2 linked regions of the Tamandua tetradactyla genome follow. The protein of the gene in region 2 purifies or fractionates together with the protein of the main gene of each other region. This does not show direct contact. Links are inferred from orthologs where the notes say so. Each region holds a gene or a part of one and is shown on either strand. Other genes may lie near its edges.

Region 1 (8,105 bases), on a different chromosome or scaffold from region 2:
CACCTAAAACAGTATCACCAATCTAACTGCCTAATTTTTTCACCAGTCTTCAATTCAAATCCCCTAAATTATTTGAATATATTTTGACTTTTAACTAGTCCTTAAAATCCAATCTGCTCTCAAGGGAGGAGGATGGAAGAAAGTTACATAGGCACCAAAGTGGATTCTAAGAAATTTCCCAAAAACTTTTCTGTCACACTGGAAAAGTTGCTAACTAAAAGAGCAACTTCAAGTAACTACCCTGCCTAAGAAAGCATTCATTTATGAAACTAATTCTGGCATTTTCAGTCTAAAATCAGTTACATTTGTTTATAGTCAATTTTCATATAATTCCAGTTTTATTTTTCCCCACCAATATATTCTAAGTTGCATCTTAAATCCCCTTGACAGAACAAACAATAGAACAAATGAAAAACTCTGCCTCCCTGAAAGACACACAAGAAACTTAACAGTGGTTATCTCTGGGGAAGGGAACAGGGAGGCTGGGGAACAAGAAAGGAAAAGAAACTTTTCACCGAGTATCATTTATGTCTTCTGAATTTTATACAATGTAAATGTATTACTTATTTTTAAACCTGTTTAACAAAATTACTTCCAGATGCCAGGTACTGGTGGCTTCTATAAGCCAGCAAAGTAGAGTACTAAAGAAATTTGGAGCTCATTTTAAGGACATTTCACCGTAAATCTGAATCTCCTGTTTCATTGCAGAGACACACAAAAACGAAACCTTTCTTTTCAGCTAAACTCCTTTAGCTAATGTGAATCTTTTGCATCATTAAAAGCTTAAACATCATTGGAAACAAAAACAATACTACAAAAATTAGTGAATCAATTCAAGAATGTAAAAATGGAAGTAAATCTATGAGCTATTAAAGAAGCAACGATCCAAATACATCTTTGAAAACTAGGAAATGAACAAGAAATATATATAATGAACGTTAAATGCTGCAAATTATTTTAAAATGCTAACTGCCATACTGTAAAAATGGGAGAAAGATGTCAAAGGATGGTGACATCTGCAACATAATTCAAGCAGCTTGAACTAGGAAACGCAATATGATCTGTTGTTACTCACAATTGCACAATCTCAATTACTCAGAAGATTCTACCAAACAGGAAATTCATGATGTGGCTTTAAGGAACACAGGAATCATATTTAGAGATTAACACGTTCAAAAATCTGGAATTTGTTCCTAAAAAGAAAAATAACTTTGCAGGTCTTTTTTCAAAAGATCCATGGACATGAATTACTAAAGCTAACAATTAAATCTGATAGTTTCAGATCAGGCGCTCTGAAATCGTAGTAAACCTAAAATGAATCCTTGGAAATTAAAGAGAAGTTACTGAAATATTTCAGGTCTGGAAATTTTATGGTATTAATTTAATTTAAAACACGCTCCGGTTGTAAATTTAGAGTTTGCAAGTGTCTCTTTCTTCCTTTGCTGTATGTTCCTTATTCTTATGAAGATCATCATGTACCTCAGGTCATAAATGTGGATAAGTTCCTGCAAACTCTCCATAAGGAACTTTAAAAAAAAAACCTGTAGTTGCAAAAATTGTCGAACTTAAATATATTTATAACATTTCCCAACACTGTTAATAACTTTTTCATCTGGAGGGCATTCAACGGACCTTTATCTCACTTACTCCAAAAGAAAAAACTTTTGTCAAACAATACTTAAATGAGCAATGGTATGTGAATAACCACTAAGGCGGCCTGTTTCTTAAAATGCAGTGTTCCTGCAGGCACTATCACCCCACCCCACCCCCCTTGGCGGAGAGGAAATACGCTTTCAACCGAATCGGAAACACACCACTCAAGCTGGCACGGTGGAGATAAAGTCAGTATTTTAAGCTCTATGGGTCGCTGTTAATTCAAGTGCGAATTCAAAAAGAAGGCTTCTCAAAACGGGATTTCGACAGAGGGTTGCAAAAAAAAAAGCCCAGGGAGGGTTCTTTCTTCGTCAGTTTTGTTCAGATGACTGCGGTCCACCTGTCGGGTTTGCCCTTCTGCTGCTCTCTGCAGCTCCCCAAGCTGTTCGTTCACCGGGCCTGTTCCTGCGCCCTAGGATGGGAGCACCCCCGAAAGAGTTCCTCTGCTTGACGCCAGCAGAGTCCTCACCCCCGCCACCGTCCCAGACCCCAGAGCAGCAGCCTTCCAAAAAGAAACGCACAGGGGAACCAGGGCCGAGCTCCAGGCGCCGCTCTGTCCACCCCCACCCCACCGCGAACCTGCGTCCTGCATCCGGCTAACCACCAACCCGGGTGTGCAGGGTAAGGGGCAGGGGGTGCAGAAAAGGACTCAAATGCGCAGCGATGCCCTCCCCGTAGGAAAATTCCTACCGCTTGGCTCATCGCTGAGCCGTGTAGGCATGACCCTTGGGCGTGAGGGACCATCCCTGCTCAACGCGGCTTCAGGCTCGGGAATACTCACCACACCGAGCCATACGCGCCGGAGCCCACCGGAGACAGGTTCTGGTAGCGCTCGGGCACCTCCCAGATTGTCTTGTTCAGCTCCTGCCGGTAGAACGTGGGCCTCTCTTGAGACATCTTCCAGCGGCGGCCGCAAGGCGAGGAGGTGGCCCAGTGAGGCCCCCGTCTGCGCCCGCACCCGCTCGCCGGCCTTCACTGCCCGCCCGGCCGGGACCCCGCGCTGGCAGCGGGCGCAGGTGCGGCTGCTGCGGCCCCACCGACAAGCGCGCGCGGCCCCTGTCACCCGCAGAGGCTGGACGCGCTGCAGAAACCCGGGCGAGCCTGACTAAGGATAGGGCGCACTCCAAAGCTCAAGGCTGCGCCCGCCGCAGTCCCCCTGCACCCTCTCCCCGACCAGGCCGACTCCAAGCAGCGACGCCCAAATGTCTGCTCCAGCTGCAGCGCCCGCTGAGGGTCCTGTGGTAGCGGATCCAGAGCCAGCTTTCAGTAGCCTCCCGCCGCACTCTCGCGAGAACAGCTCCCGGGACACTCCGTGAGCCGAGATTTTACCCAATATGGAACATGCTCGCGGGAGGGGGCTCATAAGGAGAGAGTACGGGAAGAGCACTTATCGCGAGAGCAACAACTAGAGACGGGAGGCAAGAACTCCCAGCGTCTGGTCTCGCTTAAGAGCGCGAAGGCGGACCGGGAAGGTGTGGAGCGACTGGCAGTACTTGCCACGTGCGCCTCTTTGTGGTCGGCGGGGGAAATGCCTGGTGCTGGAAAGTGACAGGGACAAAGTGTCGGGAAAAGGGTCAAAAGATCTTGGGACTACGGGTGTAGGCACCAGCAGCCGAGCGACTGCTCAGCGGAACCTCCGATCTCCAAGAAATAACTGCATAAAAAAAGAGAAAGTTTCTGACCAGAAAACAGTTATATTCCCATCTGCTCAGGGACAGTTTGGTTTACTTTTCTGCATTCTGAAGAAATCTGTTTTATGGGCAAATATCAAGGCTGAGAATTTCCACCCAAAATTTTTGTGTGCAGAAGAATCGCTGTGGAAGTTTGCTTTAAAATGCAGATTCCCAGGACCCACCCAGAGTCTGTTTAAATAAGTCCGACGTGATCATTTTTACCGTATATATACCTTGGGTGGATCTAATTCAGGAAAGTCTCCAGCAACTCCCTTTGAGAAGCATTTTTTCGGGGTTTGAAACTGACTCCTACGCTAAAGAACGTTCCAGTGAAGAGGATTTTAAGCATATAATTCATGCCTCTCAGTTTGGACAACAGAGCGCATTGCCACAACACATTAGGCAAGTCAATTGACCTTTCTTAGACCTTAGTTCCAGCTTTTGCAAAACAGAATTCCTGCCCTACTTCCCACCTAATCGGGTCATTTGTAAGAGTTAAACAGGTTAATAAATGTGAATGGGCAAGGTATTCTAATCCATGCCTGTCCCCAGTTAGCGTTCTGTTCCTATGCCAAAATTATTACAAGAGCAGGAGAATTTATCTTAGACATAACTAGGGCCAAACCAGGCTGCTTCTCATCGCTCCTCATGATTATTCTCTTTTGTGTTATGCATCCTTTGGAGAGCTCAGACTTTGCCTGGCACTCCACAAATATTGGTTAACAAAATATGAAAAATGGCCATGATCTCAATTTAGGAGATGGTGCAGGGTCCTCAGTTCTCTTCAAGAAAAACTAAATTAAAAAGCAAACAAACAAAAAAACAGGAAAACAAGGTCATAGACGATCTGAGGAAAAAGCTTTTGCACTCAACCTGTGTTCTCCTGGTTTCTCTTGCCTGTGAAGATACACTGCCTGAGAACAGGCCAACCTGCAGGTCGAAGAACTTTCTAACAAGTAATGGAAGGTAAAAATGGGAGTGAAGGCAAAAATATGAGTGTGGAGAAATGAAAGGTGGGAGTGGGTCATCAAAAGGATGAGTGGATGCAAGAAACGATGGGGAGGTTTGGAAGTAAGAATCCTAAGACATTCATATATTTATCCAGTAAACTGAGATGATGGAGTGGGGGTGATTGAAACGGTAAAGACGAAGTGACCAATATATTCACTCATTCAGCAAATGCATATTGAATGCCTACTAAGTGGCAGCCATTTTCATTAAAGAGATGATTAAAAATCAGACACCATTGCTGCCCACATGGAATTTACAATCAACAGCAAGGCAGTCCTTCAATCATTCAACCCAACTTTATTGAGGCTTACTATGTGCACTTCACTGTTCTAGGCACTGATGATACCTCATTTTGTAAATGAGGTGAAACAATTTACAAAATGAATAATAACTCAACTATTAATACGGTAATGAGACAAACAAATGTAAAACTGCAACAGGGCCAAGCAGAAATACAAGGAATAGTGAAAGATGGTGACTGGGAAGGGAGATTGAAGGGGTGGGTACAGAAGGGGTGTGTGCCTGCGCGCTCGTGTGTGTGTGTGTGTGTGTGTGTGTGTGTGTGTGTGTGTGTGTGCAGATCAGAAGAACAGGTGCAACCGGGCGGGTGCTTTTCTCCAGTGCGGACAGGAGGCTTGTGAGTTACCGTCCGAAACTCTTCTGACCCGGGATTTAAGTGAATTAATACAGGTGAAGTGAAGGGCATAAGGCCTGGCACCAAGTAAGCCCTCCATTAAGAATAAAACCTTAAATGAATGGGAACCTAGGATCGCCTCGAGCTTTCACTATTCTTGATAGGAGGCCTATTTGTGCCAGGCCTCATGCTCCTCGCTTCACATTCGTTAATTCACTTAATGAATTAAGTATGGCCCAGGTACCTCTCTGGTGCGGATCCCCACCCCCGCTCCCATTCCCCCCGCCCGCCCAGAACTCCCGCGGGTTCGGCGGCAACGGTTCAGGAACCGCCGGCGTCCGCCGCGGCAGCGCCGCCAGCCGGGCCTGAGTTGGGTGGACCCCAGCGCCTGCACCCGCCCTCGCCGGGGAACCAGGTAAGCGGCTGCACAGAGACGCCGAGTGCTCGGAGCTGCAAGTTGTGGGCGAGGGATCGTCGCTTTCTGCAAGTCGAAGTCCCCTGGCGAGGCCAGGCACGTCGTGCACCCTCAGTCAATATATGAATGAATATATGGGAGCTTATCTTTCAGAAGTATTATCTCTATTTTGGAAGTCCGCGTTGGATAGCAATGACAAGAGACGATGTGTGCGTTTTGCAAGGGGAATCCCTTCAAAGTCTCTTGTCTGAATTGTCAGGAGCCCCCGAATTAGTCCTCTCCTGCACCTCACCTTTCCACCCCAGTCGTTTTCTGCATCCTGCCTGCCCAGAAGCGCTGCGTCCTTTCAGATCTCACTGTTTTTGTTCATTTGGGTTCTTCTGACTGATCTCCCTCACTCTTGCGCCTTTCTCTTCCTGTCAGATCCTTTTTTATCCTTCAGTGTACCCCCTTTTGAAGCTTTCTTAACAACCCTACTCTAATAACAGTGTCATGCCCCTACACCCACTACTATTACCCATTGTGTTGCATTAAAAGTGGTTTCATGTCCGATGGTAAGCTCCTAAGGGTTGCTGCCACTGTCTTATTATTCCTCTTTATGTCGCCAGTCACTAGTCAGAGAGTTGCATTGAAAGTACTAAAAGACAATGGTCTTTGCCTGTGCCTTTTCTATATTCCAAATACATTTCCTATAAAAACTTAGGCTGACAAGAGCTGTTTTACATGGAATTAAAAATGCTTATTTTTTTATTTTGGAGATGAAATTGCCTTCCCATGATTATAGAGAATGTATGATAGATGACAATATCAGAGAAAAGATGTTCTTGCAACTGAACTAGGTTTCAGGATTTCATATGAATTGGGTCAATAGAAAATTGGGTAGTATTTCAATTATGTTCTTGACTTTTAAAATAGTCAGAACACAGACTATGTAAACAAATGGATGGAGGGATGGATGGAAGGGATAGACAGATGGAAGGGACAAATATGGGGGGAGAAGGAGCTCAGTCCAAAGTGCTCATGTAGCCCTGGAAGAAGGGCTTAAGATAATTGGCTATATTTATAGCATTCCTCATACTTAATGTATATCAAAATCACCAGAAGGGCTCCTTACAAGTTCAGATTGCTGGGTCCATCCTCAGAGTTTCTGATTCAGTGGGTCTAGGAGGGGCCTATGAATTTGCATTTTTAGCAAAGTCCCAAGTGATACTGATGCTACTTGTCCAGGGACTAAGTTTCATTAGCAGAGATTAATTTCTCACTTCTAAGAGTTAATCCAGATACTGGAAACACATCATATTTGTGGAATAAGAAAATGAAAGCTTAGGTAGTTGAGACCCATGCATTACCCACCTAACTATTCCGTCTGATGGCAGAGAGCATCAGGGAATGGTTTTCTAAGTGGACACTGATCTTTAAGATTATGGGTAAAGCTTTAGCATGCTGTTGATCACACTGAGTACAGTGGCCTCATTAGACAGAGATTTTCAAGAGTCGCTAACAGAGACACCCTCCTTGTCTTAGCTGAAACATCATCATCCCATCATTGTGGTTTGGGTTCTTTTTTCTGAAATATGCATCTGCCAAATTTCACACCAAAGTGCATCTGCCACTTGTAGGTAATAGCCTCTGGTCTGCTTATCTTGTCGGGAAGGTCTTGCTAATGCATGCAAACAAGCCATAAGGGTTTCTATGAAATCACAAAAGATATAACTGAGCTGGAGAAATTCCAGAGGGGAATAAAACAAAAATGACTAAAGGAAATCATGATCATGTGTTTTCCCTCGCTGCTTTTAGCTAATCACTTGATAGGTCCTTTTAAGCCAGCTTCATAGCTTTCCACTTGCCCCTCCTTGCCATCTTCATTGTGGCCACACAGGCTTATGACTTCATTAGGTCTTCCCTGGACTACTGTATTATTGTCTCCAACTATCTTTTTGCCTCAGTCTCTCCTATCTCCAGTGCTCTCCAATAGAACTTTCTGTGATAATGAAAATGTTCTATATCTGAGCTGTCCACCAAGATAGCTACTAACCACATGTAGCTACTAAGCACTTGTAACGTGGCTAGTGCAACTGAGGAACTGAATTTTTTGTTTCATTTTAATTAGGTTAAAGTTAAATGGTCACGTGGCCAGTGGCTATCATACTGGACAGCACAGCTCTAGACCATTCCACGGACACGATTCACCTTCCCAAACTGCATCCCTATAATACTATTCCTCCTGCTCAAGCATTTCGAATAGCTATGAAACAAAATTCAGATTCAACCTAGCCTTCAAGACCCTCCAGGAATAGGCCTCAACCTTTTTTTGGTGGCCTCAACACTAAAGTTACTCCTTTCTCCCAGTTTAGATGATATATGATCATCCTGAAGGAAAACCAAGTTACTGGTACATTGAACTTGCTTATAGCCTCACCCATAAAGAACTATTTGTGTACATAACTTGAGTATTTACCTGTATATTTTATAGCTGTGTAATGTGTATGTACTTCACATTTATTTTAAAGAATTTTAGTTTGTGCTTTTACAAAAACATAGATTATTAAGAATGTTTATATTGCTCCCAGAGATGAATCTATATCCAACCTCATTAAGTCCTCCTCATTTTCTTAAAAAAAAAAAAAAAGGGCAAAATAGATTTTTAAATCTACAAGTGATGCATAGAGATCATGCAGTCCAACCATGTCATTTTATGGTTATAAAACTGAAATTCAGG
Region 2 (7,525 bases):
CTCTCCCTGAATCGTCAACGCGGAGCAGCTCATCCGCAGGCGCTTCTCCCGACCGCATGCACCGGGACAGCGAGAGGTCGCGAGCCCAGAGAGGAAACCCTAAAACCAAGCCTCTCTCCCAGGCGCGGGGCCAAGGTCCCGGAGCTGCCGTTCTAAGGTGGGCCCCTCCAGATTGCTTTCAGGAAGAACAACAAAACAAAACAAACCCAGACTCCACGTGGGGCTAGAGGCCAGCCCTCGCCCCGCCGCAGGAAGGCTTCTCGGTTCAGTGCCCCGGAGGGAAGGCGCCCGAATCAGGCTCTACATTAAGGGGACCGGGAGCCGGGGGACAGCTCAGCGCAGAACACATCCTGGGCAGCCCCGACCCACTCTAGTGGGACTTTCCTACCCAGAGGACTTTCTCTCTCCTCTTTCCCACCAGCGCCAGCTGGTGATTGTTTGACATCTTCAAACAATAGCACAGACCACCTACGCCGGTGGTCTAACCAGTGACTTGACACCGGGGTAGCACGGCGCGGGGCTCCTCGGCACCGCTCCACGTTCGGGCGCAGGCGGGATAGACCCTTCTCCAGCGCCCAGCGCGCCCCCGGCTTAGATGCCGGTCCCTAGGGTCAAAGCCCCTTCCGGGGACTTTCTCTCAAGGCGCTCTGGGGAGGGAAGGGAGCTGGCTCAAAGGGTGGTGCAAAAGGTGGCCCTAGCGGAAAAAAGAAAGAAAAATCAGCAAAATCGCCTTAGTGGTTCAACCGAAGGTCAACAGCAGCATTTCCCCAGCAGCTGACAGGTCAAATGGTCAGGAAACAACTGCCGAGAACAAAGCCCCCCGCTGTTCGCCAGGGGCAGACCAGGCCTGTCGGCACTGAGCAGTTTTGTTGTGCTTTTTCGAGGGGGCGGTTGGGTGGGGGACGGTAGGTTTCCGTCCCCCGCTCCAGCTCCCTTCCTCTCGAGTGAACAGCTCCGATTAGGAGGGAAGGGGTTGGGGCGGGGGGGCGAGAGGCCAGGGCCGCCTTCAGGAACCGCGGCGGCTCTTTGATGACCGGGATAGAAACGCCTCTCGGGTTCGCAGGCGAGAAGCCGACTAAAGCGGAAGAATGCGCGGAATGCTGTGGCGGGAGCAAGGGGTGCAGCGCGGCAGCCCCCAGGGCCCTGCCCGCTCCCCAGCGCGAGGGGCGCCGGCCGATGGGCAAGTCCCGGCAGGTGCGGCCGCGGGCTCGGCTGCGACCGGCGCATCGTCCTTCCAGTTACTTGGATGGGACACAGTCCTTTTGGGTTGTTCCTACATCTGGATTTGACAAGACCACCCTCGGACACCTCCAAAGAGGAAAGGTCTCTCCGGGGTTCATTTAAATCAAGCAGAAACCATCAGATAATCGAGAATTATGTCAGAACAAAAGACCCTAAGACTCCGCTGGCCGGATTTACGTAACCGGAGAGGCACGGTCCCAGTCTAGCGTCCCGCACCTATGCAATCCTCCCGCCTCCGGCTCCCGGAGCCCGGGTCTAGCTAGGGTTTAGCCGGGCGCCGGGGCGGTGGGGAACTTGGCCATCTCCCAGGCGGACCTCCGAGTCGAGCATCGGGAGAAGAGATACAGATCGCTCCACACAAGGTCTGCAACCCGATCCGCGTTTCACTTAACAAGGCCTGGTTTCAAAATCGATCCGGCGGGGTCGATCCCCCTCCCCCCCGGCGCCCACACTCCTTCACCGTCCCCCACCCCCCACCCCACCTCTGGAGTTCGGGATCGGACGTAGTGTAGAGCCGGGGTAAGCCAAACAAGTAGGCCTATTCTGTCCCCACCCGCGCTGTGGTACTTGGGGGCACTTCCCAGTACTTAGCAGATGAGCCGTGCGCACGGGAGGAGCTTTCCCCTTGAGAGGCAAGAAACCGTTAGTGAGTGTAAATAATCGCGGAATCGCCAAGAAGGGTGCGGCGGGTGACGGAAGGAGCGCTCCGGTGTCGTCCGCCAAGGCTTAGGAAGCTCTCACACGCGCACAAAAACTCGCACAATCCTTGCAAGCCCGTGCACACTAACACGCACAGAGAGCGCGCGGGGGATTCCCGCAGCCACCGGTCACTCCTTCCCTCGGCCACTAAAGACGCAGGCCGACAAATCGCGCTACGTGTACACCCCAGCCCGCGCCCCGCCACCCGGGTTTACCTTTGAGCAAGCAGATGTCTGTGCGCTCGGCGTTGCGGCGCAGCGCCTGCACCACCAGCGACACGGTGCTGTCTTCTCGGAGGCTCTCGGCGCGCGGGCTGCGCTCGTCGTAGACGATAACCGCTGAGTATAGGCCGGAGCGCAGGCGGGCGCGCACCTCTTCCTCCGCGGGCAAGATCTGCTCCAGGCTCACCGAGCCTTTGGCCCGCCGCCGCACGATGGTGTTGCAGCGCACGTTGACCGAGCCTCGGATGTAGCCCGCGCTGTGCGCCAGGAACGGTCTGCAGTCCAGCAGCAGGCACTTGCCGCCGCTCAGCAGCCCCAGCGCACCGTGGCTGCCACCGCCGCCGTTCTCGTCCCGGTTCATCAGCCTTTTGAGCACGCTGCAGTCCATCTCCCGCAGCTCCTCCACCGTCACCATGGTCTCCAGGAACCGCGACTGCTGGGTGCGCGAGGAAGCCAAGGGCAGCCCGGCCAGCTGGGCTGGAGCAAGGGGCGGGCGAGGGTTAAGGAAGGACGCGTGCCGAAGTGACCACTGCCAACTTGGTCCCCGATGGCTACCGCCGGAGAACCTCTTCTCCCCAGTCCCCCTTCCTCCCGCAGTCACCAGGTTACATAGCAGTTTTAAGCGGCCTCGGGCGCCAGGCAGGACGACGCGCAGCGCAGAGGGGGAGGTGGCGTGGCAGTGCAGGGGAGAGTGTTTACAGGAGAGGGCCCAGGGCTCCCTTCTGTCGTCGCTTCTATTGTACAGCCTGTGGTGCTCCTGCTCCTGTTGCCGCCGGCGCTGCTGTGCCGGCCGCCGTTGCCTACACACCAATGAAGCTCCGCGCACTGCCCCAGCTCGAGTTTCCTCCTCTGCTTATAGATTTATTAATGCTCCTCGGCTCTCCCGAGGGAGGGAGGAGAGTCATTACTACTTCGCGAGGCCCCGCCTCTTTCCATTCTGGGCCTCGCGCTTCTACCCCACCCCCACCCCCCCATCTCTTGTCCCTCGACCTCGCGGGCCCCGCCTTCTGGCCCCCCCCCCCCCGCCTCCCCGGCGCGTGAATGGAGCGCCGACGGCTCGCGACCAGTCACGGGAACGCGACGTCACAAAGAGCGGAGTAAACAGGGAGCTCGGCGTTCTCCGCCAGGTCCATTCATAAAACCGAGACCCAGAGGAAGAGGGAGGCGGCCTCCGACCCGCCGGCGAGTGGCAGCCCCGGGACTTTGTGAATGGAACCGGGCCTCCGCGGCTCGAGCTTCCTGCCCCGGCACAAGTCGCCTTGCAACCATTCCACCCCGCGCCCTGGGCCGCGTTTGGCTCAAAGCAAACCTCCGAGAAGCCGCCCCAGCGGAGGCCAGCGGCGGAGTTTAAGGTTTCCTCTTTTTCTCTCCGCGCCTCACCTCTCCATTCCTCCCCCCGCCCCTCGCAGTGATCTCCCCAGACTGGAGAGGATCCTCTGCGCCCCAGACTTACCGTGTTGGGCCGGCCCGGCCGGGCGTCTTTTTAATGCGGCCCGCAGACGTAGGCTTCTGCATTAGTGCGATCGATTTCCATCTTAAACCATTAAATCCAGCTTGACAGCTTCCCGAGGAGCGTGGGTCAACCCCAACTTAAAAGAAGAAAGAGAAAGTCCCCCCTCTCCGAAGTCCCGGGAACAGAAGTGACGTGTGGGGTTTGTTGTTTTACAGCCCAGAGGGAGGCATTAATTGCCGGAATGTTATTCCCGGGGAGGAGGGCAGGGGTGTCACTCCCTTCCACGCTTCCTAAAGTATGTTTATTTAACCCTGATGGGGGGGGGGGGAATCGGCGTTTTAGGTTTTGGGAAAAATCCTGACCCCAGCTTGCACACGTATGAACGGTTTTCTCAGAAAATGACAATTAGGATCCACATATGGTGCGCAACTATATCCCTGTGAAATTTACACGCAAAGAATGACTTTTTTTACAAGGCTATCATAAGCTCTAGAGTCGATTCCGGTTTCTGTGCATCCATCTTTCCAGGTCATGTAGCATTTCTCCCTTTTTTTTTCTTCTTCCCCCCCGCCTCCCCCCCACAGTTTTCCTTTTGCATTTCATTTTCTCAAAAGACGCCCTTGCGCGCAAGCGGTGGGGACCCAACAGCAGCCCCCAAATTATTCGCCCGACATCTTGCCAAAACTTGTTCTAGAGAATTAACCACCGACGCAGGGGAATCACCGGGCTTGCTCGCGGCCTCGGGGACAGCGGGGTGGAGTGTCCCCATTTCAGGTAGCGCGTGGAGGACCGCAGGGTACCTCCTGTCCCCTCCTCACCCTCCGTCCTCTGCCGCCTTTGTTTGCTGCAGAGCGGCCAGCCGGAGCCCTCATCTCCGCCCCCCGGGGCCAGCCCTTTCTCTCCCCAACCCGACCCCGGGAGGAGGGGCTTCACTTCCGAGGCCTTCGACCCCGGCTCCCCTCCCCCTGCGTCCCGAAGGCACCGGCAGCCCAGCCAGGTTCGGGCTCGAGAGGGATCTTTCCTTTTTGCCTTAGACTCCCAATATGTCACCGTACACCACCGTACTGATCCTGTCTTCACTGAAACATTTCGAAATACTGTTCATCATGAATTTTCTACATTAATTTTGATTTTTAAAAACCCACTGCACCCAAATACTATTTATTCTGATTATTGACTACTTGGGGAGTCCCCTTAAATCTTGCGCCGGAGATGGGTGTTCACCTTTGTCCTAGCCCTGGAAAGAGGATCCCAACTGCGAACACCTCCAGGCGGCGGGCGGCAGTAGCCGCCCCCCCCCCTCCCCCCCCTGGCACCCAGGGTGGGAGGTCGCTGGTTAAAGGCGCACTCTCCGAAGGAAAGGGGCGGGTCCTTCTTCCGAAGGGCAAAGGAGGCTCCTAACCCGTTTCTCTTTCTGCCGGGGTGGCTGTGGGGCTCTAAGGATTCGCTCTCGCTAATGCACCCGGGGCCCGCCTTTTCAAAGAAGTCCCCTTGCAAAGAGGCCCTAACCGGCCGGGGCACTTTCGCTTCCCGGGGCCGCCCTCCCGTAGTTCTGGAACCCGGCCCCCGCCGCGCCCGCGGGCCGCCGCTCTTCCGGCCCAAAGAAACTCCGTTTGCTTTACAAGGGCTTTGACAGGACAGTTCTTGGAAGAGCCTCTCTGTTCTTGGAAGAGCCAATATCACACGTGTCGCGGGAGCCAAGGGCCGCACCGGTCGCGCTCCGCTGGCCTTTGTCTACCAGGCGCTGGGGTCTCCTCCCCGCCTCGGGATCGCGCCCTGCGCCGCACGTGGCGCATAAATAACAGCCAAATCTAGGGGGAGAAAAGTGCCCAAGGAACAAACAGTTGCTTTCTGCACTTGACTAATCCAAGGTAGCGAAGCCCCTAAAATCCCGCGGGCGATTCACACGGAAAGAGGTGCAGGCAGGCGCGTGTTGAGTGTGTGTCCACGTGCGCGTGCCCGCGCCCGTGCGCCTGCGCGCCCGCGCCCGCGTCCTAGGGGTGGGGGTGGGGGTGGGGGTGGGGGTGGGGGTGGGGGTGGGGGTAGAAGCCACCACTTAGGACTTAATGTAGTTTGTCAAGCTCAGATCCGCTTTAATCGCGAATGCGAATTCCTGGTTTATCAAGGAAGCTACTGTAAAAAAAAAAGGATTTTTCCCCAAATTCAGGAATTGGCATTCAATTGTTTGACTCTCACCAAGTAAGAGTTAAATTATCTTATTGTATTTATCCGAATACTAATAAAACTCACTGTTGTGTGTGTGTGTGTGTGTGTGTGTGTGTGTGTGTGTGTGTGTGTGGAGAGAGAGAGAGAGAGAACGTGTATGCGTGTATTCCAGGCTTGTGGGCCATTTGGCCCCCAGTTAAATCAATACAATGTGAGGACTTATCGGTTACCCGCAGGGTTGATAAAAATTGTCTTCAGTGAGTCCGCAGGCTGCGGGTGGGAAGCAATCGGTTTACACAGGAACCTTTTGAAATAACTTGTCACTGAGTAGATGTTGGAGAAAACAAAGGCATTTGATAGGAAAACGTTATTTGCACGTCATTTCAAGTTAATTTAATTAACGAAGGCATAGCTGCAGGAATCGGGAAGGGATTGTCCAAGGGGAGGTATTTTATTTATATTCTGCAGTAAAGCTTGGGGTAAAAATACTTTTAAAATTCACTGTGGCATGGAAATCGGGCTTGTCTTTCATCAGACAGTCCTTAAACTGACCTTATTAGTCACTGTCAGGCTCCAGCAAAACCGCTGCTCCTGTTTTAAGAACATTTCTTTCCAATTAGGAAGTTGTGTGATCTGGGAATTTAAAGCCCAGAGTAGACTCCCCAGGGGAGTATGGCTTCTATTCTGGTTTTGGTGCCCATCTCTGACTCACTGCCCTGTCCCACAGTGCCTGCCTGCATAAGACTTGCCTGAAAAATCATTAATGGATTAATCAAGGTGGTGATGGAAAGAAAGTCCTGTGGATTCCCTTTCTTGAACAAAGAGGGAGTCTTGCTTATTACTATGAACTGGAGCAGGAACAAACCATTTTAGCTGTTCTTTGTAAGCTTGGCTTTTTCAGATCAGCTGATTGGGGGAATTTCCCCTCTGGTAGTGGGAATATGTTAAAAACAAACAAACAGGGAGGCCATCTCTTGCTATTCAAAACGGAGTATATATATATATATCTGTATCTACACAGTGTGCTCGTGGGAAACTTGTATAAGTGGAATTGAGAAATTCCCCTTCTCCCAGCCCACTTAGGCTTATCGTCAGGATGACAAAAAGGGATGAAAAGTCTTCACCGTATAGATTGAACATCACTAGAAAACTCAAAAACAGCTTAGAGGGTTTTCAGTCCTAATGTTGTCACAGATGTGTTCTGTGGCCTCCATTTATTTTCTATGTAATGTCCAATAGCATTTTCTAATTACTTAGAATGTTTGATTTGTAACCCAAGGTTTCTGCAGAAGGGTTTTAATGCATTGCTTCGTTTACTATTTTTTTAAAACTACTCTTCTTGCTCATTTCTGTCCTTTGGAATATAAACTCGTAGGTTTTTATTTGTATAAGTGCTGATATCTCATGCATCTTTGTTTTTTGTATGCTGTATGCATGTATTTCATTCTTTTTCATGTGAGTAGACTGTTATTGCAGCACCATTTGTTGAATTTTTGTTTGTTTGTGTTTTCTTTTGTTTTACTTGTTTGTTTGTTTTGGGGAAGTGCATGGGCAGGGAACTGAACCTGGGTCTCCCACGTGGCAAGTGAGAATCCTACCACTGAACTACCCTTGCACCCCTATTGCATGCATTTTGATAAAACCTCTTTGGGTTTTCAAAAACAAATTTTGGAAACAAACTCTTCTCCCAGTAGAAGATAAAATGAACTTTAGACTTTTCTTTCTGGGTGACGCTAGCTGCAAA

The links. Proteins that work in one complex are often made in the same cells at the same time.
Region 1: the proteins of DUSP4 (region 2) and MAPK14 purify together in Homo sapiens (affinity purification with mass spectrometry; 3 studies listed by BioGRID and IntAct, with this or other methods). This does not show direct contact. The link is inferred for Tamandua tetradactyla from reciprocal best matches to the Homo sapiens genes DUSP4 and MAPK14.

What each region holds. Positions count from the first base shown.
Region 1 is NC_135331.1:92,713,544-92,721,648, reverse strand, and holds the start of MAPK14 (mitogen-activated protein kinase 14), read right to left. Parts: upstream 3,012-8,105; 5' UTR 2,551-3,011; coding exon 2,435-2,550; intron 1-2,434. UniProt on the Homo sapiens protein: Serine/threonine kinase which acts as an essential component of the MAP kinase signal transduction pathway.
Region 2 is NC_135352.1:14,470,310-14,477,834, reverse strand, and holds the start of DUSP4 (dual specificity protein phosphatase 4), read right to left. Parts: upstream 3,127-7,525; 5' UTR 2,578-3,126; coding exon 2,157-2,577; intron 1-2,156. UniProt on the Homo sapiens protein: Regulates mitogenic signal transduction by dephosphorylating both Thr and Tyr residues on MAP kinases ERK1 and ERK2.